Bombyx mori: one gene and its partners. The protein of the gene in region 4 binds, or shares a complex with, the protein of the main gene of each other region. Links are inferred from orthologs where the notes say so. Each region holds a gene or a part of one and is shown on either strand. Other genes may lie near its edges. The genes, in order: mediator of RNA polymerase II transcription subunit 31, cyclin-C, mediator of RNA polymerase II transcription subunit 7, mediator of RNA polymerase II transcription subunit 8, cdk8, mediator of RNA polymerase II transcription subunit 18 and mediator of RNA polymerase II transcription subunit 21.

Evidence for each region.
Region 1: mediator of RNA polymerase II transcription subunit 8 (region 4) and mediator of RNA polymerase II transcription subunit 31 share a complex: the UniProt entries of both Caenorhabditis elegans proteins name them as parts of the mediator complex. The link is inferred for Bombyx mori from reciprocal best matches to the Caenorhabditis elegans genes mdt-8 and mdt-31.
Region 2: mediator of RNA polymerase II transcription subunit 8 (region 4) and cyclin-C share a complex: the UniProt entries of both Caenorhabditis elegans proteins name them as parts of the mediator complex. The link is inferred for Bombyx mori from reciprocal best matches to the Caenorhabditis elegans genes mdt-8 and cic-1.
Region 3: mediator of RNA polymerase II transcription subunit 8 (region 4) and mediator of RNA polymerase II transcription subunit 7 share a complex: the UniProt entries of both Caenorhabditis elegans proteins name them as parts of the mediator complex. The link is inferred for Bombyx mori from reciprocal best matches to the Caenorhabditis elegans genes mdt-8 and let-49.
Region 5: mediator of RNA polymerase II transcription subunit 8 (region 4) and cdk8 share a complex: the UniProt entries of both Caenorhabditis elegans proteins name them as parts of the mediator complex. The link is inferred for Bombyx mori from reciprocal best matches to the Caenorhabditis elegans genes mdt-8 and cdk-8.
Region 6: mediator of RNA polymerase II transcription subunit 8 (region 4) and mediator of RNA polymerase II transcription subunit 18 share a complex: the UniProt entries of both Caenorhabditis elegans proteins name them as parts of the mediator complex. The link is inferred for Bombyx mori from reciprocal best matches to the Caenorhabditis elegans genes mdt-8 and mdt-18.
Region 7: mediator of RNA polymerase II transcription subunit 8 (region 4) and mediator of RNA polymerase II transcription subunit 21 share a complex: the UniProt entries of both Caenorhabditis elegans proteins name them as parts of the mediator complex. The link is inferred for Bombyx mori from reciprocal best matches to the Caenorhabditis elegans genes mdt-8 and mdt-21.

What each region holds. Positions count from the first base shown.
Region 1 is NC_085122.1:5,746,204-5,750,948, forward strand, and holds the start of mediator of RNA polymerase II transcription subunit 31, read right to left. Parts: upstream 3,090-4,745; 5' UTR 2,779-3,089; coding exon 2,763-2,778; intron 2,687-2,762; coding exon 2,597-2,686; intron 2,215-2,596; coding exon 2,045-2,214; intron 1,041-2,044; coding exon 894-1,040; 3' UTR 869-893; exon of another isoform or gene 1-868. UniProt on the Caenorhabditis elegans protein: Component of the Mediator complex, a coactivator involved in the regulated transcription of nearly all RNA polymerase II-dependent genes.
Region 2 is NC_085121.1:11,204,962-11,209,741, reverse strand, and holds the start of cyclin-C, read right to left. Parts: upstream 3,029-4,780; 5' UTR 1,741-3,028; coding exon 1,150-1,740; intron 1,069-1,149; coding exon 976-1,068; intron 870-975; coding exon 747-869; 3' UTR 1-746. UniProt on the Caenorhabditis elegans protein: Component of the Mediator complex, a coactivator involved in regulated gene transcription of nearly all RNA polymerase II-dependent genes.
Region 3 is NC_085119.1:10,080,753-10,085,358, reverse strand, and holds the start of mediator of RNA polymerase II transcription subunit 7, read right to left. Parts: upstream 3,081-4,606; 5' UTR 2,881-3,080; coding exon 2,695-2,880; intron 2,623-2,694; coding exon 2,354-2,622; intron 1-2,353. UniProt on the Caenorhabditis elegans protein: Component of the Mediator complex, a coactivator involved in the regulated transcription of nearly all RNA polymerase II-dependent genes.
Region 4 is NC_085118.1:10,645,812-10,650,485, forward strand, and holds the start of mediator of RNA polymerase II transcription subunit 8, read right to left. Parts: upstream 3,246-4,674; 5' UTR 2,545-3,245; coding exon 2,371-2,544; intron 2,067-2,370; coding exon 1,821-2,066; intron 1,234-1,820; coding exon 1,137-1,233; intron 1-1,136. Other genes in the region: uncharacterized protein LOC134199859, read left to right, coding at 3,558-4,674. UniProt on the Caenorhabditis elegans protein: Component of the Mediator complex, a coactivator involved in the regulated transcription of nearly all RNA polymerase II-dependent genes.
Region 5 is NC_085129.1:10,516,988-10,520,304, reverse strand, and holds the end of cdk8 (cyclin dependent kinase 8), read right to left. Parts: intron 3,093-3,317; coding exon 2,879-3,092; intron 2,801-2,878; coding exon 2,632-2,800; intron 2,226-2,631; coding exon 2,109-2,225; intron 1,584-2,108; coding exon 1,511-1,583; intron 1,220-1,510; coding exon 1,092-1,219; 3' UTR 772-1,091; downstream 1-771. UniProt on the Caenorhabditis elegans protein: Component of the Mediator complex, a coactivator involved in regulated gene transcription of nearly all RNA polymerase II-dependent genes.
Region 6 is NC_085121.1:5,596,447-5,601,318, forward strand, and holds the start of mediator of RNA polymerase II transcription subunit 18, read right to left. Parts: upstream 3,077-4,872; 5' UTR 2,758-3,076; coding exon 2,665-2,757; intron 2,226-2,664; coding exon 2,091-2,225; intron 1,806-2,090; coding exon 1,601-1,805; intron 1,331-1,600; coding exon 1,218-1,330; intron 1-1,217. Other genes in the region: exosome complex component RRP4, read left to right, coding at 4,048-4,172, 4,246-4,483, 4,565-4,699. UniProt on the Caenorhabditis elegans protein: Component of the Mediator complex, a coactivator involved in the regulated transcription of nearly all RNA polymerase II-dependent genes.
Region 7 is NC_085122.1:11,557,300-11,561,901, forward strand, and holds mediator of RNA polymerase II transcription subunit 21, read right to left. Parts: upstream 3,223-4,602; 5' UTR 2,334-3,222; coding exon 2,292-2,333; intron 2,214-2,291; coding exon 1,935-2,213; intron 1,146-1,934; coding exon 1,020-1,145; 3' UTR 224-1,019; downstream 1-223. UniProt on the Caenorhabditis elegans protein: Component of the Mediator complex, a coactivator involved in the regulated transcription of nearly all RNA polymerase II-dependent genes.

The DNA of each region.
Region 1 (4,745 bases), on a different chromosome or scaffold from region 4:
ATGGTCAAGATTATGATAACGGAAAAAAAATTACAAATACCAGCTTCGCTTCAACTGAACCAAGACCTGGCAACAGCTCTAGTTTTGACTTAATAGAAGGAATATCTATTTTACCCCAAGATTAAATTATTACAATTATTAACCTATATGTTTTGTTAATGTTCTAATAAATATATAAATAAATACATATGTTCATTTTAATAATTTAATAGCATTATGACGCAGAGTAAGTAATGTTTTTGCACGTGAGTGTACCATGCGCAAACTTACCCCCACTACGTCAACAAATGCTCAAGAAGTTTGCCGGTTATTATACAAAGGATTTGTTTATGTTCAATCAAATAAAATTCGTTTTGAAAAACGTTCAGTGCCCATTTCAAGTAATTAAATATATTTTTTATGAGTAAGACTACGTATATTTTACTACTACACAGAACAAATATTTTAATATCAGCCAAATTATTTTTATAACATAACAAAGAGGTTTCATTAACACCCATTTAGATAATTTAGAGGGAGATCTTTGTCCCCCGGTGGGACATCCTACTAGAGGACATGCCCAATATTTTTTTAACATTATTATACACTACTATCTGTACCCGTCCGCTTCACTGGGCATTTAAAATTAACATTATTATTTCTCACCCCCACAAAGATTCACATCATTAACGCCCCCGCAACTGGTGTAGGGAGTCCAACACTCATATAATTAGCCTATCCATTATGTACATGTATTTTCTACATGGATAACAAGTTCAAGTCAATCGGATGCATGGTTCAGTAGTTATAACGGAACATCCATAAAAACCACTGTAGATTTATTTATTAAGTATAGATTTATAAAAAGTTTATTTTATTTTCCACTCACTTCTAAAACAACAATCATGAACATCCTAAGTTTGTTGTCTTGGTGGACCTTGTTGTGGCGGTGCGGGCGGCGCAGGAAGCGCCGGTGCGTCCGGCGGTTGTAACGTGCGTGTACGCCGACGAGTATAATGTTGCCATAGCAATATTGCTTGATCGTCCATGAATTTGCAAACCTTAAGGAAAATATTAATCATTCATTAATGAAGATATTTTGAACAGTACCTATCCATCAGAGTGATCTAAACACAGGCTTTATTTAAAAATTGTAATACATACAAATTATACTGCTATCGGATAAAATTAAAAGCGGTATTTGGTCAAGGGCCAGTTTGGCACAGTCATAAATTTTATATTTGGTAGAGTACAAGAATAAAGCACAGCTACTAATGAGGTGGTAAATAAAAGCCAATAAATTATAATAATATGACTTTTGCAGTAACTTGTACGTGGTCATTAACAATTACCAAATTTATATTCTTACATTCAAACTAGCTCAATTTCATTTGCATATTTTTTTTACTGTTGATTTGTAAGTCAAGCTCTGTTTTGGTTTTAAGCCCATAAACATCATACTGTGAAACCTATAAATCATAAAACTATATCAGAAAAAAAAAAGGCCAAGTAGTGTTAAGTTGTTACCTGAGCCCATAGACATGTACAAAGTAAATGCCTAAACAAAAAAAAATACAATGGCTGCCCCACCCATCAAACCGAAACACATTACTACTTCACTGTAGAAATAGGCAGGGTAGAGGTACCTACCCCTGCGGACTCACAAGACATCCTACAACCAGTAACTACACAAATTATAATTTCGCAAGTTTGATTCTTTTACTAGATGGTGTTATTCCTTAACTGTGGAAGTCAATAGTGAACATTTGTTTAGTATGTATCTCATTATAATAATTGGAACCTGCCTGCAGGATCTGAACACCTTTGTATCGCTTGATATGAATGCGTCAGGTCAGCCTGAGCGATAAGCCTTCAGGCCACAACAAACCTTCATATAAACACTACTTCAAAAACTGGACCAAGGTGGTCACGACCCTCAGCAATGAGGAAACGACAGAGAAGAAGAAGAAGAATGTTTATCAGCGGACTTAAAACCTATGGCATTATCTACCGCTCAAGCAAAGATTATATGGAAAATAATTTAGTAGGTGCAATTTGTACTCACTTGTGCCGATACACATTCTCTTCTAAATGCTTCATGTTGTAATAACTCCAAAAAATGCAAACACATGGGATACTTCAAATATCTAGCATATTCTGGCTCTCTCCAATATTGCAAATATTTAAGATAGTTTACAAAAGTTTGTTCTTTAAGATAACCTCGCTGTGCCAAAACTGTAAATAGACAGAGTTGACATAATTGACATCCATTACACATAACATTTAAAAACACTGGGCAGAAAAACATTTAATCACAAAATAGACGATTAGAAACTAAGTCACAATAACAAAATCATTAAACCGGTATGAAAAATACCTAACAATTTATTACTTATTTCCCTCTTGTGATGATTTGATGACCAACTTGATAGCTTCAGATCAGTCATCACATTAAGTTATCATTATAAGTTTCCATAAGTGTATGTATGCAGTGAGCAGCATTAGCCTGCATAAGTTCAAGTGGCAACATTTACATTATGATGTCTATGTACTCTAGTAATCATTGTATACCAGGTGAGTGTGAAGTCTAACAACAAAAACCAAAAAGGCAACTTACAGTGAATGTAATTTGGATTTGCTAAGCACTGCACAAATTCAAGTTCCACTTGAAATCTTATTCGATTCTGCTCTTCAGTTTCTGGCATTACTGCAATTAAATTAAAGATTATTAATTTATCATGAAATAACAAACTGTTAAATAAAATTATTTCATTCTTTCTTACCTTTTCCAGCCATCATTTTGAACCCGAAATATATGCAGCTGGAGTATTTAAATTATTCAAAATTAAACAAGTTGGTCAGTGGTGTACGTCTCAACAAATCTATGACCAAAATAATAACATATTTTCAGGTTACACAAGACAGTTCATTTTATCCTTATATAAATATGTGATATTTAAGATTTTATCATTACTAAAATGTTACACAGTACTTAGTAAGCTCTTAAAATTTTTAAATTAATTAAATCACATAAATAAATTTGTGTATATATTTTTTTCCGAGTCCTACACAACGTAACACAACTACACAATACTACATAGATTATACACTTAATATACATAGATTATACACTTAATATATACGAGCAATACTACACTACACATTAAGTTAGTCTATGACTATGATCATCATCCTACTTAGGCTTAATATTTGGCCTAAAGGTACTATACCTAAACTTTTTGGCGGGAACGCGATGAGTGAAGTTGTGTGATTTGTTTTATTTTGTCTATTTAATGTTTCTTCAAGTTTAAATGGGTTCCTCCAAAAAGTCCACTGAACAAACCACAGTAAATGATCACCATTTTACTGAGATTATATTTCATCCCATATTATCTCATTCCATTTAATTTCATCCCAGTTGATTAATTTCTCAAATTAATCATCTTCATTTCATTTCACTCCATATTATAATTTTTCATAAAAATAAGAATATAAATTAAAATAAAATATAACTTAAAGGTCTTAGTTAACAGGTCATAACATCCCTTAAAAAAAATCTGGTTTAAATGTTTAATAGAGCTGGTTTATTAACTGTTTAATATCTGTAAAAGTGCACAAATGTGGGAAAATAAAATATAGCCGCTGAACATAACTTCTCGGGATCCTCCAACAAGTCCACAGAAAAAGTCTCAATAAATAACCACCATTTTACTGAAATTATATTTCATTCCATATCATCTCATCTCATTTCATTTCATGCCATGTTTCGTATTAATCAGCTTCATTTATACTTAATATCATTATTATAATATTATTATATATATCAAATAGATATAATTATTCTTAAAAAATCCTGTTTATAGAGTATAAGTATATATACTAAGTTTATTCTTCTATATTAAATGAATTTCTACTAAATGTCCCTGCAATATATTTCTTGAACTTATAAATAATTATCATTTCAACAAAAACAGATTTTGTGTGCATTATATTTACATTTTTTGAACTAAGTATGAATTTAGGAATTATTAATTTTATTATAAAATACAAGTATCTTAACTATCTCCTATTGCATGGTAATGAATAGTATCATTAAAAATAACTGAACTGAAAACCACGCTAATTGTACTTTAACGACTAATTGACCGTCTTCACTCTTCACCGACATTTTTTTGTTGAATTATTGTTGAAGTTTTCAATATTTTTTTGATCCACTTATGAAATAATTAGACAGTATAAACCATAGATTATACACTTAATATATGTATAAACCATGGAGTTAATAAGTAGTAACTCTATGGTATAAACGCAGTTCTTCTTCTTCTTCTTTATTTTTGGCTCTGGCACGTTTTGTGCATTAGCCAGCGTCAAGTAATAACGTTTTTATAATTCGCCGTTTTATTTATTTACAGTTTATAAATAATAAAAAACGAAGGAAACTTATCGCAACAAAACATAAATGATTTAGAACGAATTGAATTTACAAAAAAAATCAGAATAATTATATAACAGGGAAAATAAATCAAAATTATAGTTTAATGTTATTATTTAATATAAACCTACTTAAAATACTATATACAAGGGGATTAAAATCTCGAAGAAGTAAAGAAATATTAGTAGGAAGGGGAACAGAGAGAGATACTAAAGAAGTATATAAGGAAGAATGATCATATAAAGAACAAGAAAAGAAAATATGATTCAGGTCACAATAACTCTCGCCACACTCACAGGCGGTACTAGTTACGATACCAAGTTTGTGCAAATGA
Region 2 (4,780 bases), on a different chromosome or scaffold from region 4:
GTATTTTATGTGCCCGCGTCTATTGAATTCAGCCACTGCATAAAGTGCTCAATGTACAATTTCACCAATCATACTTTGACTATACATGACATAATTATTCCCTGAATTGCTAATAAGTTTTAACCTGAAATGTGTAACCAATAGTAATTTATACATATATATCTATTTAAAGGATCCACCTCATTTTCAATGTTCAAAATTGTTAATGTTGACAAATGTTGTAAAATGTGAACAAATGCAACACAGTTAATGAATGAAGTATCAATGCTCAAAAACATGCAGACAGATAAGACTAAATTCATTAGAATTGCCTTTTTTCTTTAGCTTTTGTCATCTTACTTATCTTTGTCAGTTTACTTATATGAACAATGTTATTGGGCAGCATAGCAATACAATGACATTATTTAAACATTAAACTTGAAATAAAGGAATAATTTACTTTTGTGTCTAAAGGCTACAATAGGATACAATAGTCTTAAATCACATAACAACCAATAAAGAGAGTATCTTTGGCTTGTGATGGAAAATTAAATAACTTAGTTCTTGTTCTTTTAATTTATGCTCTAAAGTGTGCTCTACACTGTATTTGTTTATGGTTGAAAAAATTCATAAAAATCACTTGAAATATAAGTGACCTCATCAAAAATAGTAATTTCTTTTCCTAGGGAATTAAAAACAAATTTTTCATGTCTACAATTAAAAATTATATATCCATTATACAAATCCATACTACAAAATATGTCTTGCTATCTCTGGGGAGCTGGCTTTGGTTTGGGCATCTTGGACAATAGCCCTTGTATTTCTTTTTTTTCATCATAACTTTTCCACATCTCATAAAGGTTAATGATAGCTCTCACAATTTCTTGGATCTGTAAATTTGAATTTTTAAATGAGTAGTTTCAGAAGTTTTGTAATACAACCACACAATAACCATATTTTTTTTAATTTTAATATATATTCAAGTATATTTCTCACTTTATCCATGTCAACATTTAGCTCAGCAAACCAAGGTTTGAGATTGTCTTTACCAAGCATCACACATGCTATTTGTAAGGCACCAATTGCAATCTGTAATTCAAAATATAATGGCAATGAAAAGTTTTATGAATAAAAAATGAAATGTGACTATTTGCATTACATAAATCATACCTGATAGGGTGGGTACAACAAACTAACATCTGTTCTCAAGGAATCGTTTACTATTCTCCAAGCGTATGTCAGAAGTTGATCATCTTGTCCTATGTCTTGGACAAAAAGTAGTAATGGTCTATATGGTTGGTATACAATTAAACAACAATCTAAATTTTCTAGTAAATAAAATTCACACTCCAGAATGTGATTTGTCCTGTACGGGAACTCTTGTTGTCCATAAGCATAACTAAACTTATTTTTTATAACTGTCTGGCAGGTTGTTATTAATCTGGAATTGGATATAACACCAAATTCTTCAACTTTAGATGCAAGAAATACGCATGTTGGTGCCAAAAGAAGTGGATCAATACACTTCAAAGAGTTCCTTGCATAAAATCTTTTAAAGTAAACTGTTGCAGTTGCGATTACTTGCTGACGAAGTTTAAGTTGTTCGCCTAAAACTTGAATTATACTAGCAAAAAAATTAAATACTTTTTGGTATTCTTCTTCTGATAAAATATTCAAATCAAACTGGCGATCGCGCCTTAGCTCTTGCTTATCGAGTATCCATTGTTGATGATGTGAGCTTTGCCAAAAATTTCCAGCCATTTCTTCAAAGGCAAAACACAATAATTATTAAAATTTGGTAAATTTTGATTTATCAAAAAAACATACTTTTTTTACAAATTTAACATTTTTCCATCCATTCCTATTCTATGAAACTTTTGAAACTGTGTATTTTAGTAATATGTATGCATAACCAGGGGGGTGCAACTCCCATACAAAGGAAAAGAACATTCAACTAGCGTCATCTTTAGGAACCGGCGAGGTCATTTTTGAAACGTTTTGGCCTTAATGATCTAATAAACTCACTAGATGGCAGGTACGAGTTCTGACTCAATAAAAAAGGTTAGCGTACTTTGAAGCAGTGCTTCCACTTTTAGGGAATTCTCCCTTTTTTAGGGAAAAATAGCTGATATTTTGGATGATAAAGACAATTTAAAAAATACCAGGATTTAGGATAGTTCGGGGTAAAAAGCAAAGCCTATACTAGTAACTGTTGTGAATTTTAAAATAAACGATAATTAAAGTAAAACAATGAACATTTTATTTTATGGAGAGAGAATGACATTAAGTCGAGTTGACAAGTAAAAGAATAAAACAGAGTTGTGTATAAAAACTATAAAGAAGGTTTGATTCAACAGTAACCCTCTAGTAAAGTAAATTATAGATTAAGCCACTGCTTTTTTCTTAGGGATTCCCCAGAATCCCAATAAGTATAATCCGCCAAACTTTTATTTACCTATTTTCGTTGATGTCACCAGAACTTACTTGTATTGTAATATACAGGTACTTCATGTACCATGAAAGATTATCATGGTAATTTCATTTACGAAAACCTTGTAATTGTCATTTCACTTTTGCTAGCAGTTCCTTCTTCAAAGACTGAGGTGGAAAGATAATTCAGTGTTCTCAAATGTAAAAACTGACAAAAGAAACAGGCTTTCTAATGAAACCCTGAACGGCTTGCTTCATAGAAAGTTCCCAACTTTGCCAGCAAACAATTGCTCAATTTTAGAACCGAACAGTGTTAGGTTGCGTGCAGCAAAAGAATATAAAAGCAATGCGTCGACTTCCTTGAAAATTCTAATCCTATATATCTATGATCTTCTGGGGGCGTTTATATTATATATACCTACATTAAATAATATGCTGTGGTTTATTTTCTGTATTTTATTTATACTTTCTATATAAAGGATTTATGAAAGTTGTCTAGGAAATTTTAGGGATAAATTCAAAAGAAACTAGGGTAAAATGTGTTTAAAAAAACGTAAGTGGAAACACTGCTTTGAAGTTTTCAAAATTCCAGGGCCGTAAAACAATCTCAAAAAAAAAAAAAAACGTTTTCAAAATGTCGTAACGATTTAATTTTTTAAATCGTTTTTTTTTTGTCTTGGTGTGAGTTATTTTACGTTGTAGTATTAATTTAGAGCATCTTTTAGCTTTATGAGAATATTAGACGATTAGACATTGAGAAACTCTGTTTTGAATTCTCTTTAGACATAACTTGGTTCCAATACTTTTTTCTTCGTTAGCGTTTCGTAAGCCTGTGTAACTATTTTCGTTTCTTACAGAAAGTTTATTATTAAAAATCAGCATGCCTCGAAGATCGAAAATGAAATGCTATTTCGGATGCCTTGATAACGGTGAGTTTACACTATTTTCCCGGTATATTATTTGCTAACAGAATTATTATTCATAATATAATTAAATGAATTAGCACCAACTAATGGTCCTTCCTATTTCTGCTGCCTAGCTATCATATATGTTAAGTTTGATCAAAACAGTCGGTGTTAAGTCTCGTACTATCACACACACACCTCAGATAATAAAATTGTCTCGAGTGGGTGGAAGTATTTATGTTTTGCAACTCAGCGTATTATATGCTTATTGTCAAGTGGGCCCGAACTAGTTTTTTGGAATGGAATAAACAGGAAAGCATGACTGATTGATAGTCATGCTTTCCTGTTTAAATAAAATACAGCACAATTGATCTCACATCCAAAGTTAAATGATGGCATTCACATTTTGTTTCCTGGTGTTTGATAACCAAGTTACACCAAGTGGCCTGTGACCACGTTCATCCTTCTACCCAATATAAAATAATGTTTTTATTTTTGTAGACAAAGGTTTGATAATGACAAAATTTTATGGAAAAATTATAAGGAGCACTAAAATGTCTGAAACATGAAAAGATTGATGCACTATATTTGAACCAGAACGTGTTATGTAATATATTAATTTGTAAGTATGATTACATTAACACTAAATTTTTCATGGTCGTATTTTTTCAATATTTGTTACATACTTAAGATACTTTGTTTCTCCGTTTCAGAAGAGAAACTGATTCAGCAAGGAATGTGAACTCACAAGGGATCTTAATTTTTTTTAAATATGTTTATAATTTATAAATTAATAATTGAAATAGTTCATAAGAACTAAATTGATGCCAATTTTGTTTTAAAATAGGTTGTTTAGTTCTTATAGTTATACTATTACGTTTTGAATAGTTGTAATTAGTAAGTTAGTAATATATGAAAATACTGATATAAATTTTTGTAAATGAGCTTTTGTAAATTCTACGAGAAGATGATTTTAATTAATGATCAAAAGTCAACGATCTTCAAAAGCATTATTTGCAATTATTTAGATTAACTGTGGAATATATTTGCTAAGTTGTGTTTTCTGTATGAGCAGATATAAATGAAAATGCCCAAACATGATTATGTTTCTTACATTTTCATTATGTGAAATCAATATGCTTGTGACTGAGTATATTAATAATTTATTAAAACTTAAGTGATAGACAGCAACCCCTATGGCACTGCTGAAGTTTATAAGCACTGGTGACCACTTATCATGAGCCGGGTTGTGTGCTCGTCTGCTGTTGAGTGCAATAAAAATTTTCGAGACCCTTTCTATTATTTAGATGTAATATTAATGTACATTTAATTTGGATTAAAAGATAAATTTACATTTTATGTTTGCATGTGTATGTTTATAATTCATTTGCATGTAACGAACATCAGTTTCTTTTGTAACAAAATGCAAACTAATGGTTTGTAATGAATGTAATTAACTTTAAGAT
Region 3 (4,606 bases), on a different chromosome or scaffold from region 4:
GAATGGAAATTTAACTTGTAAGGTAACAGCTGTCCATCCACAAAAACACGACGATAAACAACAAATAATTTTCGAGTTCAATCTTGTGTTATAATATACTAGGCTGCACTAAAAGTATCGGGAATGGAATATTTCTACTGTTCCTGTCATATTAAAATCTTTTTAATTGAAAACTCCTTGGTTTTAAAAATCGAATACCATTTATTTATTTTAAAAAAGATTCTCGGTCTTGTCACGAGGTTTTGTCAAACTTGTTTAGTCGTTGAGAAAATGGAATTGACTCGAGAAAATTCAAGAGCGATGATTTATTATGACTTTCGAAGTGGTTTAACACAAAAACAGTGTGTTGACCGGATGATTTCTGTATTTGGTGATGAAGCCCCATCCAAAACCACAATTTATCGCTGGTTTGCTGAGTTTCAACGTGGACGTGTCAAGCTCAGTGATGATTCCCTTCAAGGTCGTCCAAAAACTGCAGTCACCCAAGAAAACGTTGATGCTGTGCGTAAGCTGATTGAGGAAGATCGACATGTGACATACCGCGAAATTCAGGCAACTTTAGACATTGGCATGAGTCAAATACAAATAATCTTGCATGAACAATTAGGTGTAAAAAAGTTGTTTTCCCGATGGATACCGCATTCGCTCTGTGAAGAGCAAAAAGCGGCTCGCGTTACTTGGTGCGTCAGAACTCTCGAAAGATTCCACGCAGGATCCTCAAATGCTGTATACAACATTGTATCAGGTGACGAATCCTGGATATACGCGTACGAACCCGAAACAAAAAACCAGTCACGAGTTTGGGTGTTCGAAAATGAGTTAAAGCCAACAAAAATTGTTCGTTCACGGAGTGTTGCAAAAAAAATGGTGGCCACGTTTGTCTCCAAAACCGGCCATGTTACGACTATTCCTCTTGAGGGACAAAGAACGGTTAATGCAGAATGGTATGCTAGCATTTGTTTGCCACAGGTCGTTTCTGAACTCCGTAAAGAGAACTGCAACCGCCGCATCATCCTCCATCACGACAATGCGAGTTCTCACACCGCGCACAGAACAAAAGAGTTTTTAGAGCAAGAAAACATAGAATTATTAGACCATCCGCCGTACAGCCCCGACCTAAGCCCTAATGATTTCTATACTTTCCCTAAAATAAAGAATAAATTGCGTGGACAGAGATTTTCATCACCTGAAGAAGCTGTAGACGCCTACAAAACGGCCATTTTGGAGACCCCAACTTCCGAATGGAATGGTTGCTTCAATGATTGGTTCCATCGTATGGAAAAATGTGTCAAATTTCGCGGAGAATACTTCGATAAGCAATAAATACATTTTTAAATAGTAACTTCGTCACTTCGTTAATTCCCGAAATTTTCAGTGCCGCCCTCGTAGTATCAGTAAACAATATCTGCTAATTTCTTTTTTTTTATATTAAAATATTTTTGTATATTACTCAAAACAGTTCAAATTTGGAAATCTCTAAAAAGTGCAGAGGGCAGATTTTGGTTTGAAAAAGATGATATGACATTATGAATACTAAAATTTTTTTATTGAGACAAGTTTAAGGTTTTTTACTGGTGGTGGTAGGACCTCTTGTGAGTCCGCACGGGTGGGTACCACCACCCCGCCTATTTCTGCCGTGAAGCAGTAATGCGTTTCGGTCTGAAGGGTGGGGAAGCCGTTGTGACTATACTGAGACACCTTAGAACTATAACTCAGGGTGTGTGGCGCATTTGCTTTGTAGATGTCTATGGGCTCCAGTAACCACTTAACACCAGGTGGGCTGTGAGCTCATCCACCCACCTAAGCAATAAAAATAAAAAAAAATTAAACTCATTACAAATCTGATTTTCATTATTCTGCTTCAATATCAAACATTGGGAGAACTTAATATGACTTTGTGTTTAACAGCCTATGGTAAGATTAAACACAATAAATTTATTCAGGTTCTACTAATTATAAATAAATTAACATAACATTGATGGGCAAAATGTCTGGGAATCTCAATCATGAAGGTACTGTGGTAACAGATAAAAATGTCTAATCACTAGTGGCACCTAATGTTTCCAACCAGTGAAAATCCAACCAGTGAAATTTAAATCAGACTTTCACATTACCACCCAATTAAAGATCATATTATAATGTTAAAGCCTAAAATAATAAAGGATAAGTCACACACTTAATGGTTATATCATGTGTGTGGCAAAAACATAACTTAAATATTTATGTTGGCATCTTTTTTATTTTGTCATTTGTGATCTGAGATCTATCTTTATTTTCTAGAATGGTTCCTTGGTGTCCAGTATAGATATAGTAGAAACACCAACATATGACAAATTAACGCTATTAATAGTACCTTGCTGCAGTTTCAACCCTCTGTCTTTTCTGCAATTCCATCATTACTCTCAATGTTTCTCTTGCTTGGTGTGGCCTAAATTCATTTAGAAGATGATGTATATGAATAAATAACAAACTTAGGTCTTCTACTTTTTCTGCTCTCTTTGGAGAATCTGGACAATGAACAAGCAAATCCAACAAATCCAGAAAATTTGCCAGCAGTGAATGGTTAAGTTTCTTCAATTCTCTTCTTCGTTCAAAATGCATAGGATACAATCTTCGAAATCCCTGAAGGAATTTTTTACAACGAATTATTTACATAAACATTTGTGTTTGTAAACTAGTTGTTTTAGGACTTACCTGGCTTTCTAACGAACGTATAATAGCATCATCAGCGTTAAAAGAATTACCAAACATTGAATAAGAATCATGAATAGGTCGAGGTGGTAGAGGAGCTCTATTTCTTCTAACATTTTCATCCGTGTAAAAATTTATATATTGCATTGGAGGCAGAGGTAAAGAGCTAACTTGAGCTGTCTCTGACATTGTGAACCGGGAATCCGTACGTACGATTCTAGCAAACACTTAATAAAAACGGAATATGCCTATATTTACAAAAAAAGATTTACATACTCTTAAATATTGTGTTAAATTGAAGAAATTTATTTTAAAACAACTTTACACACTACAGTATGAAATGTATGAATTATTATGAGCTTTGTCTATGCTTTCTAAAAAATAAGTGTTTAATCTATGCTTTAGTATGCTTTTTTTGTTTGATTGGCCTTATGGATAAGCAAAGGGAACATAGCTCATATATTCCAATTTTTGCCACCAAGGTCGAAGGTGTTGTGAAAGTTAAATGAACTTCAATTTAGAGGTGAGTTTATGACAACACCGTAAGTGTGGACAAAATGAAGTGAAGTAATTTTTCGCTAAAATTCTGAGAATGTACTGAGTGTTCAATGAACCTTTAGAAAAAAAAAATCCCGAACTGATTTTTGTCGAAAGATTTTTGATGTTTTATAACCAAAAAGAAATTTCATGTAAACAATTTGGCTTTTATAAATAAAATAAAAAAGATGTTTTATGGGCTTTGTTCCTTTAGCTTTCGCAAGTCGTGGAGACAATTAACTATTAAGGATGTTACAGGAAAGATTGGCAACAAACTTAGGGGTGGGGTGTGTCTATAAAATCATTTAAAATGGTTTCATAAAATGTATCACACAAGAAAATCAATGAGTAACTAAGATCTGTTAAGTGTATTATAACTTTGCAAGATTCTGGTGTCTGGATTGAGCTGGATCAATTGGATTATAGCAGTAGGCTCTCATACAGAGGACAATATTTTAGGTGTGTGGCGCATTTACGTTATAGATGTCTATGGGCTCCAGTAACCACTTAACACCAGGTGGGCTGTGAGCTCGTCCACACATCTCAGCAATAAAAAATAAAAAAAATTAAAAGGCACATCGCGATTGCGATTAAGTGGATACACGAAACTGCAGTTTGACAGTGTGGCGGGTAGCCATCATACAACGCAAGATGATTGACGGATGCCTGAATCTCGCTTACGACATTTTCAAGATCAGCTTGCTTATATACAAGTTCCGAACAACAACATTCGGACCGTCGGTCTACAGAGCAATTATCACCCGCTCGGTGGAAGATCTTCCCTTTATCGTATATCTACAGTAATAGTTGGCCCTACTGCAAAGCATGCTTTCTGTGGCGGATGCCTAAGTTTCGAGCTCTGCCTTATCTTGAAAATGTCGTAAGCGAGATTCAGGCATCCGTCAATCATCTTGCGTTGTATGATGGCTACCCGCCACAGACAGCATGTTTTGCAGTAGCGCCAACTATTAAGACTTGAAAAAATTCAATTATTCGCTAAAGACAATAAAAGTAGTTTTATTTACATTTCATACGTAATTGTATAACCCAAATAAAAAATGAAAAATGAAATAAAATATCTAATTTAGCAGACCTTTGGCAGGAATTCGGGATGTAAGTTTTATGAATTATTTTATTTGATCTGTATATTTTATATAATTTATAAAAAAATTCTTCAGTTTTAATCCAAGTTAAATTTCTTTTCATAATTAGTTCCATTTAATTTTTCATTAAATAAACATGGTGTGAGATAGGTATGTTTAGATACCAAATAATAATAATAATAATAAGAGTATTTTAGATCGCATAACCGTATGGAGGAGCAAGGAGTTACACGGTAGGTTCTACCGGGCTCTCACAGGGCCTGATGTAGACCAAT
Region 4 (4,674 bases):
GGATGTCTATGGGCTCCAGTAACCACTTGACACTAGGTGGGCTGTGAGCTCATCCACCCATCTAAACAATAAAAAAAAAAACTTCCTTAAACTGAAAAATAAAACATAAAATATATATATTAAAACATAAACATCCAGTTAACTGTCTCTAGCTGTTCTACTATGGTGTGATTCAGTTCTCCTAAGTCAGTACACATTTTTCAATGAAAAAACTTATCATCATACTTATTTATTTATTTTATTTATTTATACTTATTGTACACAAAAAGAAAATACAATAAAAACAGATTTAAAGAATGTCTAAATACTATGCACAAAGGCGAGCTTAACTCATTCATGAGTTTTCTTCCAGCAAACCATTAGCAGAGAGAAATACAATGTATAAAGAGGGGAATAGTGTACAATACAAAATCTATTAAAGCATGATTTTTAAACTAAGCTTTAAAAAAAAACTAATATGAAATGAAAAATACATATAAACATACATAAAACAATAACTTAAATACACTTTTTTAAAGTGACAGGAAATGTTTCTTCATTTGACTCTTAGAAACTTCTAGAGAGGAACTAGCACAAATAGGTTGAGGGAGAGAATTCCATAATCGCACTGCTTGTATTGTGAAATTGCATTATCATCATACTTGTTTAAGTGGTGGGCAAAATCTTGGGCATCTCTGGTGGGCATCTTTCATCTTTGTCAAAGTAAAGTCATACCTACCTTATATGAACTAATAACTTAGGATATGTGTACAATGGTCAGAATAATCCCACCTGTCTTTTCTGTAGATATTCACCAATGACTGGGGTCTAGAACTGTGAGTAGCTGAGTGTATCCTGAGTCACTGACGTGTATAAGTATTTTTGTTATGAAGAAAACAGGCATGCCAGTTTGAATTATAAGATGCCTGCCTGCCATACAACTGAGACTTCGGGCATGTGTTTTGGGTCAGGTGAAATAAGATAAGCATGTGTGTCTAAATTTTATTGAAGACAAATTGTTTTTCACTACAGTGACCCGCATCTTTTTTCAACCTCTAGAAGTTAAAAATGGACTACATAATATGAATGAAATGTTTATTAAAATCTGTCAACTGTTTAGGTAATTATGATAATTTTCTATTGTAACTTTTACTAACCTGTAGATCTCATTGACTCTCCTTCCCAGTCTTCGCGGCCTTTGGATATAATTTCCCAAACGTGACTGACAACTTTAGTGAATTGAGCAATGTGTTTCTGGAATATAAAACTATTATAATCCATACATCATCCATCTATATAATTGTAGGTAACAACTACACAACATTACATGAGAAAGTGAGCTTGTTATAATTGCATGTCTTAAGTACTCAACTTGATTATCATGCTAATTTTGCAGACAAATCTTGATTATATAAAAGAACTTATTATACATAGTTTAATAGAATTCAATGATGATATGATTGCAATGATACTGAATGATGACCATGACCACCCTGACAAGTGATACAACAAAAAAAAGAAAGAATTGATACATACTTCAACCAAATATCTCAAAGCAAGAGGTTGATTTAACTCTGTGATATCTATGGGTCCCAGCCACTATATCTCAAGTGAGCTGTGGGTTTATTCACTCAACAGTGCATTACATGTTTTAACCCCAAATATATCTATTTTTTTACCGTTTACAATGAAAACTAATTTAGATTGCGAAGTCTACAAAGAATGTCATAAAAAATTAGCCCAAATAGTTATAATGGATATTTTTCCTTGTGGTACATTAAACCTTATGCTTCTTTAAATGTTTCTGATATTTAAAATTAAATGTTAATTATTGTCTATACCTGTGCTGTATCATAGCTTAAAGTACTAGCTTTATGATTAAATTGCTGGAGACGCTGTTCAGCCTGGGGTTCAGGTTTGGTACGAAGTAAATCTGGAACTAAATCATGAGTGCAAGCTGGAACTCTGCCTTCTGTCAAATGAGCCAGTGTTTCATCACGTTCGCAACTTAATTGAAGTGGTAAAACAATTCTAGACCGCAATGAAGCTGCTTGTTCGGCTTGGAGAATTTTACTGAGGCCAGTCAGCTGAAAATAAAGAGTTAATAAAATTTAACTAAATAACACATGATCTTTAAAGTGAAAAGCTTATGTACAAATGCACTTAAATCTGAAAACAAGTCTCAAAATGGGATAATACCTAATAAATATCAGTGACCACGCTAACCAGGTTACATCAAGTGAGTTTTGAACTCGTCAGTTTTTGTTTCACTGTTTTTTCAATAATAAATTAATTATCTTTCCTACTTCAAGTTGAAATCCATCTCTGTAGACTTGTTGACTATTACACACACTATTTATGCTATGAATTTCAATATACAATTGGACTTACGTGACCAGATAAAATCGCGTAATTATCTAGAAAAGTTGGCCAATTTATTGTCTCGTATTCCGTTTCTAGTTTATTTATCAATGCTTGTATTGCAGTTTTTAAATCATTTACTCTATTTAAAATCGCAACTATTGTAGCTTCTAGTTGCTTTTCTTCTCGCTGCTGCATATTCATTGTTGTAAATGGTAGGTACACAATTGTAACTTTTTAATTCTCTTTGTTAGATTTTAATAAGGTTTAGGTACCGTACCTTACCTAGCTATTAAATAACCGTAAGGGACTAAGGGTACATAAGTAATATATCTCAAAATGGTACCATACGGTACCTACCGTACCGTAAAATGGGGCGATTAGGGACAAATTCCAACTTTATGAGCAATTTTAAGGTAGTTGTTGATGTATATAATGCTAAATCAGGATCAAAATGATTGAGTCTTGGGGGCATCTTTGTTGTCTAATTTAAAATTATGCAACTAGCATTCCAGTTTAAGCAAAAAATGCAAAAATAGGTGTAATCCCTATTTACCCGAAAATTGCGGTTAATTGGGACGAAACGAGAAATTTGCTAGGGTTGGCACTACTTTTATTTTTATATATAGTTTTAATTTATTTATTTATTTAGTTGCACCAACAAAGTGATCATCAATAAAAAAAATTGAAAAACTGACAAAAGTACATGGCAGACATCACCTCAATTATAGGTGCAATCGACAGTGCTGATATTTCTATCTGGATTAAGAGATTAGGTGTGTCGGTTATTCCATGGATTAATCAGATGAATACCCCCACTCTGAACAAATATTAAATATGTAGCAAACCGACCGGTACGTCACTCTCGCGGCCGTATGCCCGCTCGCTATACATAGTTAGTATCTATGTCAATCTTGTAACAGTGTATAATCTATGTTCCGGGCGCTTCCGTTTTGAGTGTGAATAGCGTGCGCCCGCGTCTAAATGTAATTATTGTTTAAAAATTGAAAATTGTTTGTTATAAAGGAAGATTAAAATTCGAAATTCGATATTGGTGACTAACCCATAGTTTTAAATACCCCTGAGATCTACCCCTCACTATATCTGGCTGCCCAACGTTTCCTAATTTTTTTCTTGCTTGGACTAACAAAATGGCGCGCACGCTTTTGTGAAAAATTTGCTAACTATTGTATGCTGTTGGTGCTTAATTGTAAAGAATGCCTTTAACTAGAAGTCAAGATCGCCAGCAACGTCGCGAAGACGACGTTATTCCTGCTGCAGATGCAAATGCCAACGAAAATCACGAGGAGCATGATAGCCCCCATGATCGCCCCCACGCCGAATCACGTAGCAACAATTCTACGTTCAACTTGGATGATGTTTCAGCGTTGATGGCCTCGCTGCAACGTTCGCAGGCCGAAACATTTAAGAACATTATGTCGTACGTGATGGAACAAAGATCGTCGACTCCGGCACCTCCGCCGATGCCCCCAGTGAACGTAGATGGTACCTTGGCGCGTTGCAGAGCTTCTTTCAGCGGTGCACCTGGTGAATCTGTTGAGGCCTTTATAGATGCAATTGAAAGTTATACAGAATGCGTTCAAGTATCTGACGCTAACATCATACGAGGCCTAGCCATGCTTTTGTCTGCTGACGCAGCTACGTGGTGGCTAGGATTAAAGCATCACATCTCCACTTGGAACGAAGCCAAAGAAAATTTAATATATGCATATGGCACCCGCCTTCCACCACATAGAATATATTTGGAAATATTTGTTTCCCCGCAGGATAAAGAAAACACAGACAAGTTTGTTGCTCGTATTCGTGCGCTTATGGCAAAGCTACCGCGGGATGATATTGCTGAAAAAGTACAACTTGATATGATATACGGGTTGCTTCATAATAGAATACGCACAAGATTGCGCCGTGAAGAAATCACATCTTTCAATTCATTATTAAACCATGCTCGGAATATAGAAGATTCGATAGAGGAGACTCAATCGAGACCAGTGTCGTCCACTAGTGGTGTGCGTTCGATCCGTGCCCAGCCGGCCCAGGCTGCGAGTCGGCCTGAACCGTGCGCCGCTCGTGCGAGTGCCCCGGCGCCGCGCGCGCGCTTTCCAAACTCCGCCGCGGCCGTCGTGCCCGCCACCGCTGTGCCTGTCGCTGTCGCCCAGCCTACCGTTGCCACGCCTGCCGCTGCTGTGCCAGGTTCTGCAGAGCAATTCGTGACCACGAAGAAACAGCGTCCAGTGTGCTCCTACTGCAAACGGTTTGGACATGCACGGGAACAGTGCCGTAAGTTAAACAACCGAGGTGAGCAAAGTCAATCTA
Region 5 (3,317 bases), on a different chromosome or scaffold from region 4:
TTAAACCTCTGCGACTCGTAATAGGACAATTTTACAAATTAATTGCGAGTTCGATTAATACACGAAATGATTATGTACTTTATTGTTATAGCTTCTTTATTTTTTGGCTCCGGCACGGTTTGTGCATTAGCCAGCGTCAAGTAATAAGATTTTTATAATTCGCCGTTTTAATAATTTATTTACAGTTTATGAATAATAAAAAACGAAGGAAACCCAAATTAATCAACTGACATGAAATTAAATGAAATGAGATGAGATGATATGGGATGAAAATAGATGGTCATTTACTGACTTTTTCAGTGGACTTTTTGGAGGATCCCGAGAAGTTACTTTCGGCGGCTTTGTCTCATTTTCCCACATTTGTGCACTTTCACAGATACTAAACAGTTAACAAACCACCGTTATTACACATTAAAAACTGAAGAAACACTAAATAAACAAAAGAAAACAAATCACACAACTTCACTCCTCGCGTTCCCGCCAAAAAGTCTTGTTATAACTTATGAGCACGTATTTGCTCATAGCCCAACTGTCACCAAATAACTACTGGAAACAATGGGCATCACAATGAGCCTTGAGGCAAAGATCATTAGATGTCACAGTACCATATCATTCTATTGTGCTATAAGATCTTTTCTACTTTTCAAGCCGGAATGGTGAACTGCTTTGTGATAGTAATCAAATCTATTAGCCACTTCAAACACATTGCTGATAGTAATATTCAATTTCAATAAGTATCTTTTTGTATTATAGGATTTACAACAGTTTTTTACAACATAGCACCCAATGTCTCTCACGTGTTTGTCACAATGACTATCAACATGAGATTTTTCCTTCGTTTATTTGGAACAGGTCCACCAAAAATACAGAGTACATTAACTGAAACGCATTTCACGAAATACCACTAGTTTTGTTTGACGGATCATTAATTCTATAGTTTTAAAAAAAGAAACCGTACGGCGACACATCACATTCGCACTGTCTGAGAGATTTTGAGTCAATATCTCATCAACCAATTTATAATTAGCACGTTTTTATTCATATGGTTCTAAATTCAGTCCACCCGAGTACGTAGACTCAGGTATATTGTATTAGAATCTTTGTTGGTAGTTCCCTTGTTGTTGGGAGCTTCCTCCCTGCTGCTGACTACCGAACATCATTTGTTGCTGTTGATGGAATTCCTGCTGGCCACCACCAGTGTTGTTGCCTTGGTTCGGACCTGAAAAAAAATATATAACTAAGTGTCTGATAACACCTTGCTCTATTTTATTTATTGCCCGTGATTACTAAATCCTACTGTTGTTAATTGCTCGTGGTTAACACTCTATTGTGTAGACAAGCTAACTCCCTGTCTGGTTATATGTCATTTACTAGGCACATAAATAGTTTTTAAAGTAACTTTCTAAAGGGCTAGGAATTTTATTGTTCAGAATCAGTTGGCACTACATGAAAATGCAGCAAAAAATAAATTTATACTTATAAATTTGTATTAAAACTTGTGTTATTTTACCCGTCATTCTCATCCTTTTGGCATTATTGGCACCATGATCGTGGCTGTTCTGTTGAACTTGATTCTGTTGGGTCTGAAATAAATTAAAAATAACAATAAAATTTAGTAAATGGTATCAATATACCTCATTATTCATCACGTTTACAATTTACACAATTGTACAATGAATGTGTAAAGTTTGAAGCATGGCTTGTTGAGAAATAAAGTTTAAGACGTTCCGTGTACATGTATGAAGTGATATGACTATGTTGCTTAAATCCTGGAAGCAAGTAACATTTTTTCTACGGGCTTGGAATACATATTAACACATGCTCATGAATTGAATGACTTCAACGGCGACTATATTGCGTAAAATCAAACGCCCAAAAATATTATTTATATATTACTGATTGATACCCTTCTTGTCAGATCGCATCACAGGTATCACCAATGCCCTGCTTATTTCTACAGTTAAGTAAAAATGCATTCCCGTGCAAATCCCTCAAATGACCACAGATATTAGCATGAACACAGCATAAGGATTAAGCCAATAAATTATGTATAATTCGCTAACAAACTAGTTAGAATACATGGATATAACATATGTCAAAATCGTTACATTTGGTTGTTGTTGCTGTTGATTTTGTCTGGCTTTTGAATCACTCTTGTCTTCCTGATCGTCATCAGTCAAAAATTCTCTTTTCGGATATGGAATTGTACATCCGGCGAACACATCCTATTAACCGAAAGAAATTAAATCATTCACTGTTAAATAAATATATTATGGTGACCTAGTACAATATATTATTACCACTAGTTCCTGTACAATATTATTAATACATATTTCGTTTCTTGCACAGGTTCACAAATATTTACCAAATAAATGAATGTCATCATTACATAATGAAATCAAAATATTTAATGGTTGGTTTTTACCATAGAGGGCAATTTTGTGAGCCCTTACCAGTAGATACCTACTATAATCAAGATGGGATAGCATTTATAGTACAGTTGGAAATTTAACTTGTTACAAGGTGGGTGGGATTAAAATTGTGCATTTATAGGGTCTAATATTCCTGACTTCAGGTTGCTCATCTATCCATTCAGATCATTAAGAATTCAAAAACATTATAATATCATACTTGAGTAGGCAGTGGGTCTTCAGCAAAGTATGGATCCTGCATAGCCTGTTCTGAAGTGATTCTTTTGTTAGGATCCATCAGTAAAAGTCTTTGTAATAAACTAAAAGCTTTACTATCTGGCTTAATCTTATGCCTGTCCATATATTTGCTGAGTGAGCAGTTCTGGTAGCTGTAATGAATATGAACATATTAAATTTAATTTCATTTTAGACCAATGCATCCTCAAAATATTTGTTTTTCAATTTACTTTGATCTCTTGAAATCCTTAACTAGTGTTGCATGTTCTGGCATTTTCCTTATATCTTCCCAATCTTTTTCAAGTGGAAATCCCATAACATTAAATATTCTATCTAGTTGATCATGATGATATGGATTGCTTGTTTTAATGTCTTCTTGGCGACAATGGAAAATAGGTTCAGATGTTAATAGTTCTGCGAATATACATCCTATGGCCCAAATATCTGCAAATAAATGAGATTTTCTTAAATTACTTTTTTTTTTACATCTCTTTTGACTTGGTTTTAAACCGTGGCTCTACACATTTCGTCCAGGAAAAGTATCAGTATGAATACTTTCACTTTAAAAAAAATCATGTCAATCCATTGGTTTGTATTGACGTGAAAGAACAACATTTTAACATTACAATACACATATAATATTTTGCACCAATGAGTCTATACTTCATG
Region 6 (4,872 bases), on a different chromosome or scaffold from region 4:
CTCAGGACTCACTATCAGCAAATAAAAGTTAGTCTATCATCTTATTCTTATATATTATAGGTACACAGAAAATGATACTAAAATAAGACTTGTAAAAGAATGTCCAATGGTGAGTTTAATGTATTAATTAGTCTTTTGTTCTAACAAACCTAAGGGAACCAAAGATATTAAAGAAGGGTAAAAGTCTTCAACAACTGAAATACACTACACATCACATAACATACATGAAATAAAATAAATCCACATTGCTCTACAAACATCAACTACATACATTAATTATATAAAATCTACTTAATACGTACAAATAAGAAGAAAAAAAAACAATTGAAGCTTATTATTGAGCCTTACTTATTCATGGAAACCTGTAGGTTAGGTTACTTATGTTTTTATAGCTTGAAAAAACCAAGCTGTTTACATCAAAACCAAGCCAGCAAATTAAAAATCTCTTCCTTATTTTTAGTTTATTTACAGTAGATTGGGGAGAATAGAGACTAGAGTTAGAATAGGGACAAATCTGGGATGTCACAATACTCTTGTTGGGTTGTTAGATATAACTTTGTTGCACTGAAGATGACTATTATTTAGTGTTTAAGAATATTATATAGTTTAATTCAGATATCAAAACTTTGTATCTCATTAAAGATATAAAAAATTAATTACCTAAAGTTAGGTACCTACCTAAGAACTAAATAGTGCCAGCCTTATCGAAAAACTCTGTTGTCCCCATACATAGCGTATTTTTTTTATTGCCCTTGTAGGCAGACGAGCATACGGCCCACCTGATGCTGAGTGGTTATCGTCGCCCATGGACTTCAGCAATGCCAGGGGCAGAGCCAAGCCGCTGCCTACCGTTGTATACTCTCCACAAGCCTCGTTTGAAGAAGGACAAGTCAATGAGAGAAATAGCCTCATTCAAAGAGAATCGGGTCAAGCAAGTTTTTTAAGGTTTTGTGTATATTTTGTGACTATATGAACTATATAAAATAATGAATCGTATTTAAAAATTTAAACCTTCGGAGCCATTTTAATCTCAATTTTATTGGTATTACCCTAAGAATAAAAGCATTGAAAATTTGTTTTGGAATTGGAAAGGGTCCCCATTTTCCCCAATCTACGGTACTTAAAGATCATATATAATCATCATACTCAAGCAAAACCAGAAAGCGGTATTGTTTGGGAAATTTGACAAATTATTTAATTGGGTGTCAAAAACTTACAGAAAGCTCCACAAGATAGCTCTGTGAGATAGGTTCAGGTGGCATTGAATTTTGAGAAATCTTAAACACTTTTGCTACAGTAATTTTCATACGACCTTTTCTAAACATGTAACCTGAAATTTAGAATTAGAAAAAGCTTAATGTTTTTTATAAAATTACCGTAATTGATTGATTTTAAATGAACCACTGAAAATTATATGCAATTTAATTAAATCCCAAATCTAGGTAATACTTTAAATTGAATTAGTATTTTTGACTATTGGTCTTCTTTGATTCGTCATTATTAACAATAGTGGTATAGTAATAGTGATGATTTAGAATATACTATCAAATACATGTACAATCATATTACTCATAATTGTCATTATAATAAATATTATTACCTTTTACACTGTATTCAAATTCAATTCGGCATCCTAGCTCATTTAAAAATTCAATGAGCATTCCACTGCAGGCTATATCAAGACTGGAACGGACAACTGTTGGCCTATTTTTGTCCCCCAAATCAGGCTGCCCAATGTATCGTAACTGAAATGGCATGTCTCGAGCATCTAATGCTTTACGAACACGCAACATGAGAGGGGGAGCCTGAAATTTAAATTTATTAAAGATGAACTATTAGAACATGAAAGAAAAATATATAGATTCAGGCATGTCTTTATGCTCACGAATTGTACAGTATTAATAGTGATTACCAAATCATTAGCACTTTTCTTGACCAAACAGGTGACAGCCCAGGCAAAATTTAATCAATTTATAATTTAATACAAGTTTTATTGTATTATAATTTTATAACCATTTTATATTCTAGTGTCCTAAAATAATAATAACATTAACAGAAATATTTTAAAAAGTTCTAAGTATTATTATTACCTGATGATGATTAGGATCCCGTAGACTGAAACACACTTCCTGGTCATCAAATGTTTCTGGCCCAGCATCAACATTGTCACAAAGACCACGTAATCGGTGAAGTAAAACTTCTACTGCCGAGTCCAACACTGAGCCCTTAATCAAATTTTAGTGGAATCAAAAATTAAATGTATAATATTCAACAATTAACAAACTTGACTGAATCTTGAGAAAAGTTGCTGCCTGTTGCCTAATTATCATAATTTCCAGCTATGAAATACTGTAAAATTGAAAATCATTAAATGAATTATTTTTATTTATTAAGAACAGCATTGTAGGCATTGTAACTAAGACCTTATCTCATGTTTTTTTGGGCTGCTATTATATGTAAGCTATGTATGTATGGGTTCTGATAATATTTTGAATGTAGTATGTAAACAGATCAAATGGGTCAAAAGAATTGGATACAATAGCTGCAACTATGGTAATTAGTTCTGTTAAGTATGCAATTTATGGAAACTGTAGAAGAATGTAGACTATATTGTAATTATTCTGAAATTTAAAATAGCTGAGCCACTTCAACATCCTGTAGTACCTGAAGTAAGTATTCCTGATTTGGTATAATGTTCGCTTTTAAAGCTTGCGATAAGCTATCTGTAGCTGTTATAGGTGCAGCGTTTGCCGACATTTTATGGAGCTGAAAATCTGAAAACCTACTTCAATAGCAGCTATTTAAAGATTTAAGTTTTGAAGAACTATGTGTGAGCCAAGAAATCATTACACTTATAAACGACTTTTCTGTCTCATAGAGGTGCATTCAGTCTAAATAGTCCATATAACCGAAACTATAAATATTGCGTAAAATAAAAAACTAGGCAATTTTAAAGGAGAAAATAAATTCTAATTTCTAATTAACATAATCTAAATACTCATATTGGAATTTAACAAGGTAGAGATATGTTTGCAATCGCTGTTAGCTTGACAGTTACTAACAATGTTGACATTTAGCCTCATTTAGGTGACATTTTGTAATTTCCTTTTTCAAATACAGGAGAGAGAGGCAATGGTATCGCATCATATTATCATATTGGTACGGCCGTATTTGTTTTTAAACATTTTTTGTCACCAATGATTCTACATGCGAGGAGTGAAATTGTGTGATTTGTTTTATTTTGTCTATTTAGTGTGTCTTCAGGTTTAAACCTGTAATAACGGTTGTTTATTAACTGTTCAATATCTATGAAAGTGCACCAATGTGGGAAAATGAAACCAAGCCGCTGGACGTAACTTCTCGGGATCGTCCAAAAAGGCCAAAATCTCAGTAAATAACCGTCATTTTAGTGAGATTGTATTTCATCCCTTATCATCTGTTCAGTTCTCGTTCAATCACATGAATGAACAATGAGTGTGAAGAGTTAATCATTAATTTCAAACTATAAAAGAATATTATTTATATTTTACAATAAAATTGTATTAAAGTGCTCCAATATATGTTACTAGTAGTATGTAACTACAATTACTTTTTTTTATTTTCATTACATACCTATAATTGTTATATTTTATACATCTATAATTTCAACTATATGATGTATTGGAAATAGGACAGTCTTACAAGCTTCCTCGCAATGTTTTTCTTAATGTTTAAAACACTCGGTATTCAGTGCAGGTAGATACTATAGGAACATAATATTTCGTCGAAAACTCATTGGTTGTACAAAGCACGCCTAAAATTCGAACCCCGTACCCGATATCGGCAATTCGGCACACTAACTATTCACTAGACAATCGAGGCAATTTCATTAATTCAGGAGTTTTTTCAATCGTTCACTTTGTCACAACACTATTTTTATTTCATCAAAACCTGACAACACAGTAAACGTCAGTTGACTTCGTCTAATAAAAAATCCGACTATAGGTCTATGAGTTCGTTGTACACAATTCACAATTAGCAAAGAGGGAGCTTAAAAAAACATTAGAAATGGTCAGTCATGTATCTATAAAACTCGCATCTGAAAGAGTAAATCATTCGGTTGCCTCAAATAATGACCCGCCGCGTTTTTACACTCCTGGCGAAGTCATAACTGGGATACAAGATTTTATGAGGTCGGTATTTTTTGCGAAAACAATATTGTTAAGAATTATTATTACTATAAATTTAATAATTTTGCACTTTAAGAGGCCACGGAACTTACGCAGAAGATGATTGCCTAAAAGCATCTGTTGCTGGGGTTATGCAAAAAGTAAATAAACTTATATGCATTCGCCCATTGAAGAGTCGTTACGTTGGAGAAATAGGCGATGTGGTAGTCGGAAGAGTATTGGAAGTTCAACAGAAAAGATGGAAAGTTGATACCAATTCACGACTTGATTCAATACTTCAACTTTCTTCAGTAAATCTACCTGGCGGAGAATTGGTAAATTAACGCACACTTCCATAATATAAAGCAATCTTCTTGTATCTAATGATAACTATTTATATATTTTTTTAAATCCAGAGAAGGCGTTCAGAAGAGGATGAGCAGATGATGAGAAAACATTTACAGGAAGGTGATTTGATAAGCGCTGAAGTACAGAATGTATTTTCTGATGGTTCGCTCTCATTGCATACAAGAAGTTTGAAATATGGCAAGGTAATCAGATTTTATGAAGCCAATAAAAAATGACTATTCTAAAGTTCAACAAGAATGTTATAAGGAAATTAAAAATATTCAAATATGTAGCAACATTAAATTTTGAAATCCTCCAAAGTGAAGATGATATTTATCCTTCTGAGTAGATTAAACATGCTTCATTAGCAAATTGA
Region 7 (4,602 bases), on a different chromosome or scaffold from region 4:
AATTTACTGACGCTTTTTGGAGGAAGCCGTTAAGCCACATATAGGAACTTTGTTCTAATTTCCCACACATGTGCACTTTCAGAGATGCTAAAATGTAAATAAGCTACCATTAATACATATATAAACCTGAAGGAACACTACTTCTACTAAATTAAACTATTCTTTACCATTGAATCAGTATTGAAATTTATACAAATAAAACATTTGATTTAATAAAACACTCTTAGCTATCAACATTTATTTTCAATCATATAGATTTTTTTTCATTTCAAGATTATAGTTTTCTATTTCCAATCTCTAAAGTATATTAATATTTAGATTCGAGTCCATTCCAGCATATACAGGGCGTACAACAAAAAGAAAAATTAAACCTTTAATTAAACATAATAACTTAATTAAATTAATTAAACATAAAACATAAATATTTTTTAATTTAATTAAAACTCATGTTCATCATTGAATACAATCACCTTTACTTTTTCCTTGTGTTCATTTTATTTTATGTATATAGATGAACGAGTTCATCTAATATTAAGAGATTAACATAGCCCAGAGATCCCAGTCATTGCCGCCACTCATCTCAAAATCATCATCAACAACTAACCTGTGCTTCAAAACTGGAAAACAACGGCTTTACAGTATGTATAGGCAGAGTGGCGGTACCTACCCTTTCAGACTTAAAGTATGCCTTACGTAATAATAGAAAATAATGAATAAACAAGTCATGTATACTTAACTATTCAATTATAACAAATGATTACTTAAAATGATATATGTCATACCAATGTTTTTCTTATTATAGTTTCAAAAATATGACATTCAGACAATTTAGTTTTCACCGGCATGAAAGCCCTGTAACAAATTTGCAAACAACAAAAAAAAATCTTCGTCATTAAGCATTAAGATTTCAAACACAAAATTTTAAAATTCATATAATACTAAAATACTTCCGTGTATTCTTGTTTTAACGTATCCTTTTGTAGAGGAAACTACCGTTGGTAGAACCCCAGACCCCATCCCTATAACTGTGGTTTCACATCCTTGTTGAGGATCAGAGCCGGATTCTGCATGTCCAACTGGCACTGAGCAATATCACTCAGAGCACCCTGAATCTTCTCTAGAAGAATCTCTCCTTGACGGACTACCTGTAGAATTATTAAATATTGTCTGACATTATTATTAACGCTAATGAAAAGAGAGTAAGTCATGTGTAATTATTTTCATATCGACGCTTGAAAGGCAAACGTGACTAAGCGACAATAACTGCTTTATACATGATAGGCAATAACCATATTCAATGCCAAAAAAAATATATTTCTAGGTCTATTAAAATCATTTCAATCCTACAGCTAGTTTCGTTAAAATAGAATTTTTTCAGGTATTTCATCTTGAAATTAGTCTACTGTGAAGTTCACGCATTGTCGCTTAGTCACGTTTGCCTTTCAAGCGTCGATATGATTACTTCCAATATTTCAAATACTATAAGTTTTTGTAGTCATGGCAATCTAAAACATGAGATTAATCTGTAAACACCCTATGGGTTTTGAAAATTGAATAAAGTAATATTCGCTGATACAATTCCAGTGTGCCATCTCAAAATGAAGTTAAGGAAACAACTTTAACCAAATCGCTATTACTGTCAATTTTATCTTAAGTAGGTACTAATTTATGTTTAAATATTGGTGCTTGTTTACATTACAAAAGTTGACTATAGACAAAATACAATGTCTGTAATACAAATACTTTCTTGGAATATTTGATTTTACATTCAAATGGCAATACAAAAGCAAACTGCATGGCATAATTACTTCTTTAAAATCATTATTTTAATGGTTTAGTTACATGATAATTCCCAATTTATGATAAAAAAGAAAGCTAGTGTCCTTTGAGATAAATTGCACGTGTATTGGGCACGGAGAGTTGACAGCCCTTACCTCTTCAAGTTGCTCAGCAGCCTCCTTGTTCTCGGCCTCAAGTCGCCGAAGGCTTTGCACTTGCAGCTCAGTTGAACTCTCTTCACTGGGCAAAGACTCGATGAGCGTGTCAATGTCCTTAGCACAACGAGAAATTAGAGCCGCGAATAAAACCGCATAATCCTCTTGACTCTGCGGTTGTTGAGGAGTCTGAGAACCACCGCGTTCGAAGCCTGGGAACTTGCTAGGCAACGAGAACTGCTGTAGAATTCCGATGCTGTTACAAAAATTCTCAGCTTGCTACAAATAAATAAATACAACGTATGTGAAATGTATTAATGTCAATTAAAACGAAATGTTCATTTTTGTCATACGTACTTGGTTTATGGTATCTTGAAGCTGAGTTAAGCGATCAGCCATTATTCAATTCAGATATTTATCCTACTAACCACTGTTAAAATTTAATCCTTATATGGATATTTTCTATGGAAGGTGGTTTTAAGCTACCTACAGTATCAATTTGTAAAACTACCTTTTGAATGAAGTTATTTGAAGTTGAACGTTATGACGTTTTTAAGTAATATTTCCAATATTTCCAGGTGGAAAGGCGAAGATATCACACACCATACATCCTAGTCTTTTGTATGTACATTCTATTCTCTTTCATGAAAAATGATCATATGGAGCGAAATGAAATAAAGTTGATTCATTTGAGACATTAATCTAAAATCCAAATAACTTGAAGTTCTGTAAGGAAACAATTATATTACGATCGTTTAACTTTGGCGTGCAGCAAAACAGTACCTAATTTGGAATAGTAACGCCATTTTAAGCCAGAGATCTTTTTTGCCACGTACCATACGGCTTTGGAATGAGCTCCGCTCCACGGTGTTTTCCGAGCGCTATGACGTATTCTTCTTCAAACGAGGCTTGCGGAAAGTACTTAACGGTAGGCAGCGACTTGGCTGTCCCTGGCATTGCTGAAGTCCATGGGCGATGGTAACCACTTACCATCAGGTGGGCCGTATGCTCGTCTGCCTACAAGGGCAATAAAAAAATACATTTAGAACTGCAATCATTCTCATCAGTATTAAAATTTAGAAAACCATTTCTCCGTTATATACATTATAAGCTAAATAGTAATGTTGCTAATAACAGGACCACTTGACGTTTCGGTTTGAAGGGTGGGGCAGCCGTTGTAAGTATACCTTAGAACTCATATCTCAAGGTGGGTGACGGTATTTACGTTATAGATATCTATGGGCTCCGGTATCACTTAACACCAGGTGGACTATGAGCTCTTCCACCCATCTACATATAAAAAAAATTAAAAAACTTTAATTATAGGCAATGAAATGAATTTCAAAATTTCCTTTATTTAATGTAAGCAGTGTACACAATAGGTAACCATAATATTACCGACTAGAAAAACATCACAATTATTGAGTATTTAAGTATAATAAAAAACCATTAATGAACCTCTTTCATTTCAGACCTTAAACGATTATTTTTAAATTTTAGTTATTCAATGAAACAACATTAACAATAAGCTGGATTCACATTACGGATATAACGAGGTTGTGTGTTCAAACATGTTATTGTTTAATGACTACTACAACTATTAGTCTAATTCAATCTAAGGCAGCTGTGCTATAGTAAAATTGGCAGAACTTTACTAATTTGTAAAAGTTTTCCGTTTTTCTTTTCGTTTCGTGTAAGCCATTTTTTTTACAATCAACAAACACCTCCTGTCGCGCAATAAGTAAATATCAAATCCTCGCGTCATTTTTGTAACAACTAAAATTCATCAAGAAGTTGCGTCGCAGTGTGTGTAGGCTACCGAATAGGTAGGAAAAAAAACTTCCATCACCGCTTTCGCGCTATTCTCGTACGAATTAACAATAAAAGACTAGATAGCTTTCAGCCTAACCTGCACTCTTTAAAAATAACTAAGCATTTGCGGTATCACATTTTTATGATAGAAATCCGCCGTTATCGAATTTAAATTGCTTAGAAGTCAACAATGAAAATTGCTAAATTAGATTTTTGAGTACTGTATGTACATACCCAACATAGCATCTAATTTTTTTATAAATTAAGTACAAAACTTTACTAATAACAGCAATATGAATATAATTCATTAGCATAATAATATAGCAAATAAAAATTCCCACTTTTTTTTGAGTACCTAACTAAATTATCGTTTGTAAAGTAAGAAAGTGAGCGCAGTTGGTTGAATAAACTAGCACTCGACGCATGCGCATTAGTTTTTAATTTTTAAATAGGGTAAGTTTGTCTACCGCCATCCTTGTCTGACAAACGATGTTACGCATTAACTCTCTCACTCTACTTTGGATCTAGGTTTCCATCTTTATCAGCTAGCAACCCCCGTTTGCGGCCACATTTACAAAGACAGAGGTTTTAAATTGTGCACAGAAAAAAAAACACACACACACAAAACCTCGTGATTGTTATTAAAAATGTTTTAAAACAATTTAGATAAATTGTTTGAAAACTTCAAAGCTTCACACTATAGTACCAAAATTATTATCAAATACCTTAAAATTATAGATCTATTCTCAATTTATTATCAAATTTTATGCATAAATATAGTTATAAACATAGCAACAAGTAATGACTATTTACTAAAACTTTTAAAAAATCACACAATGAAATAGTTTTAACAATT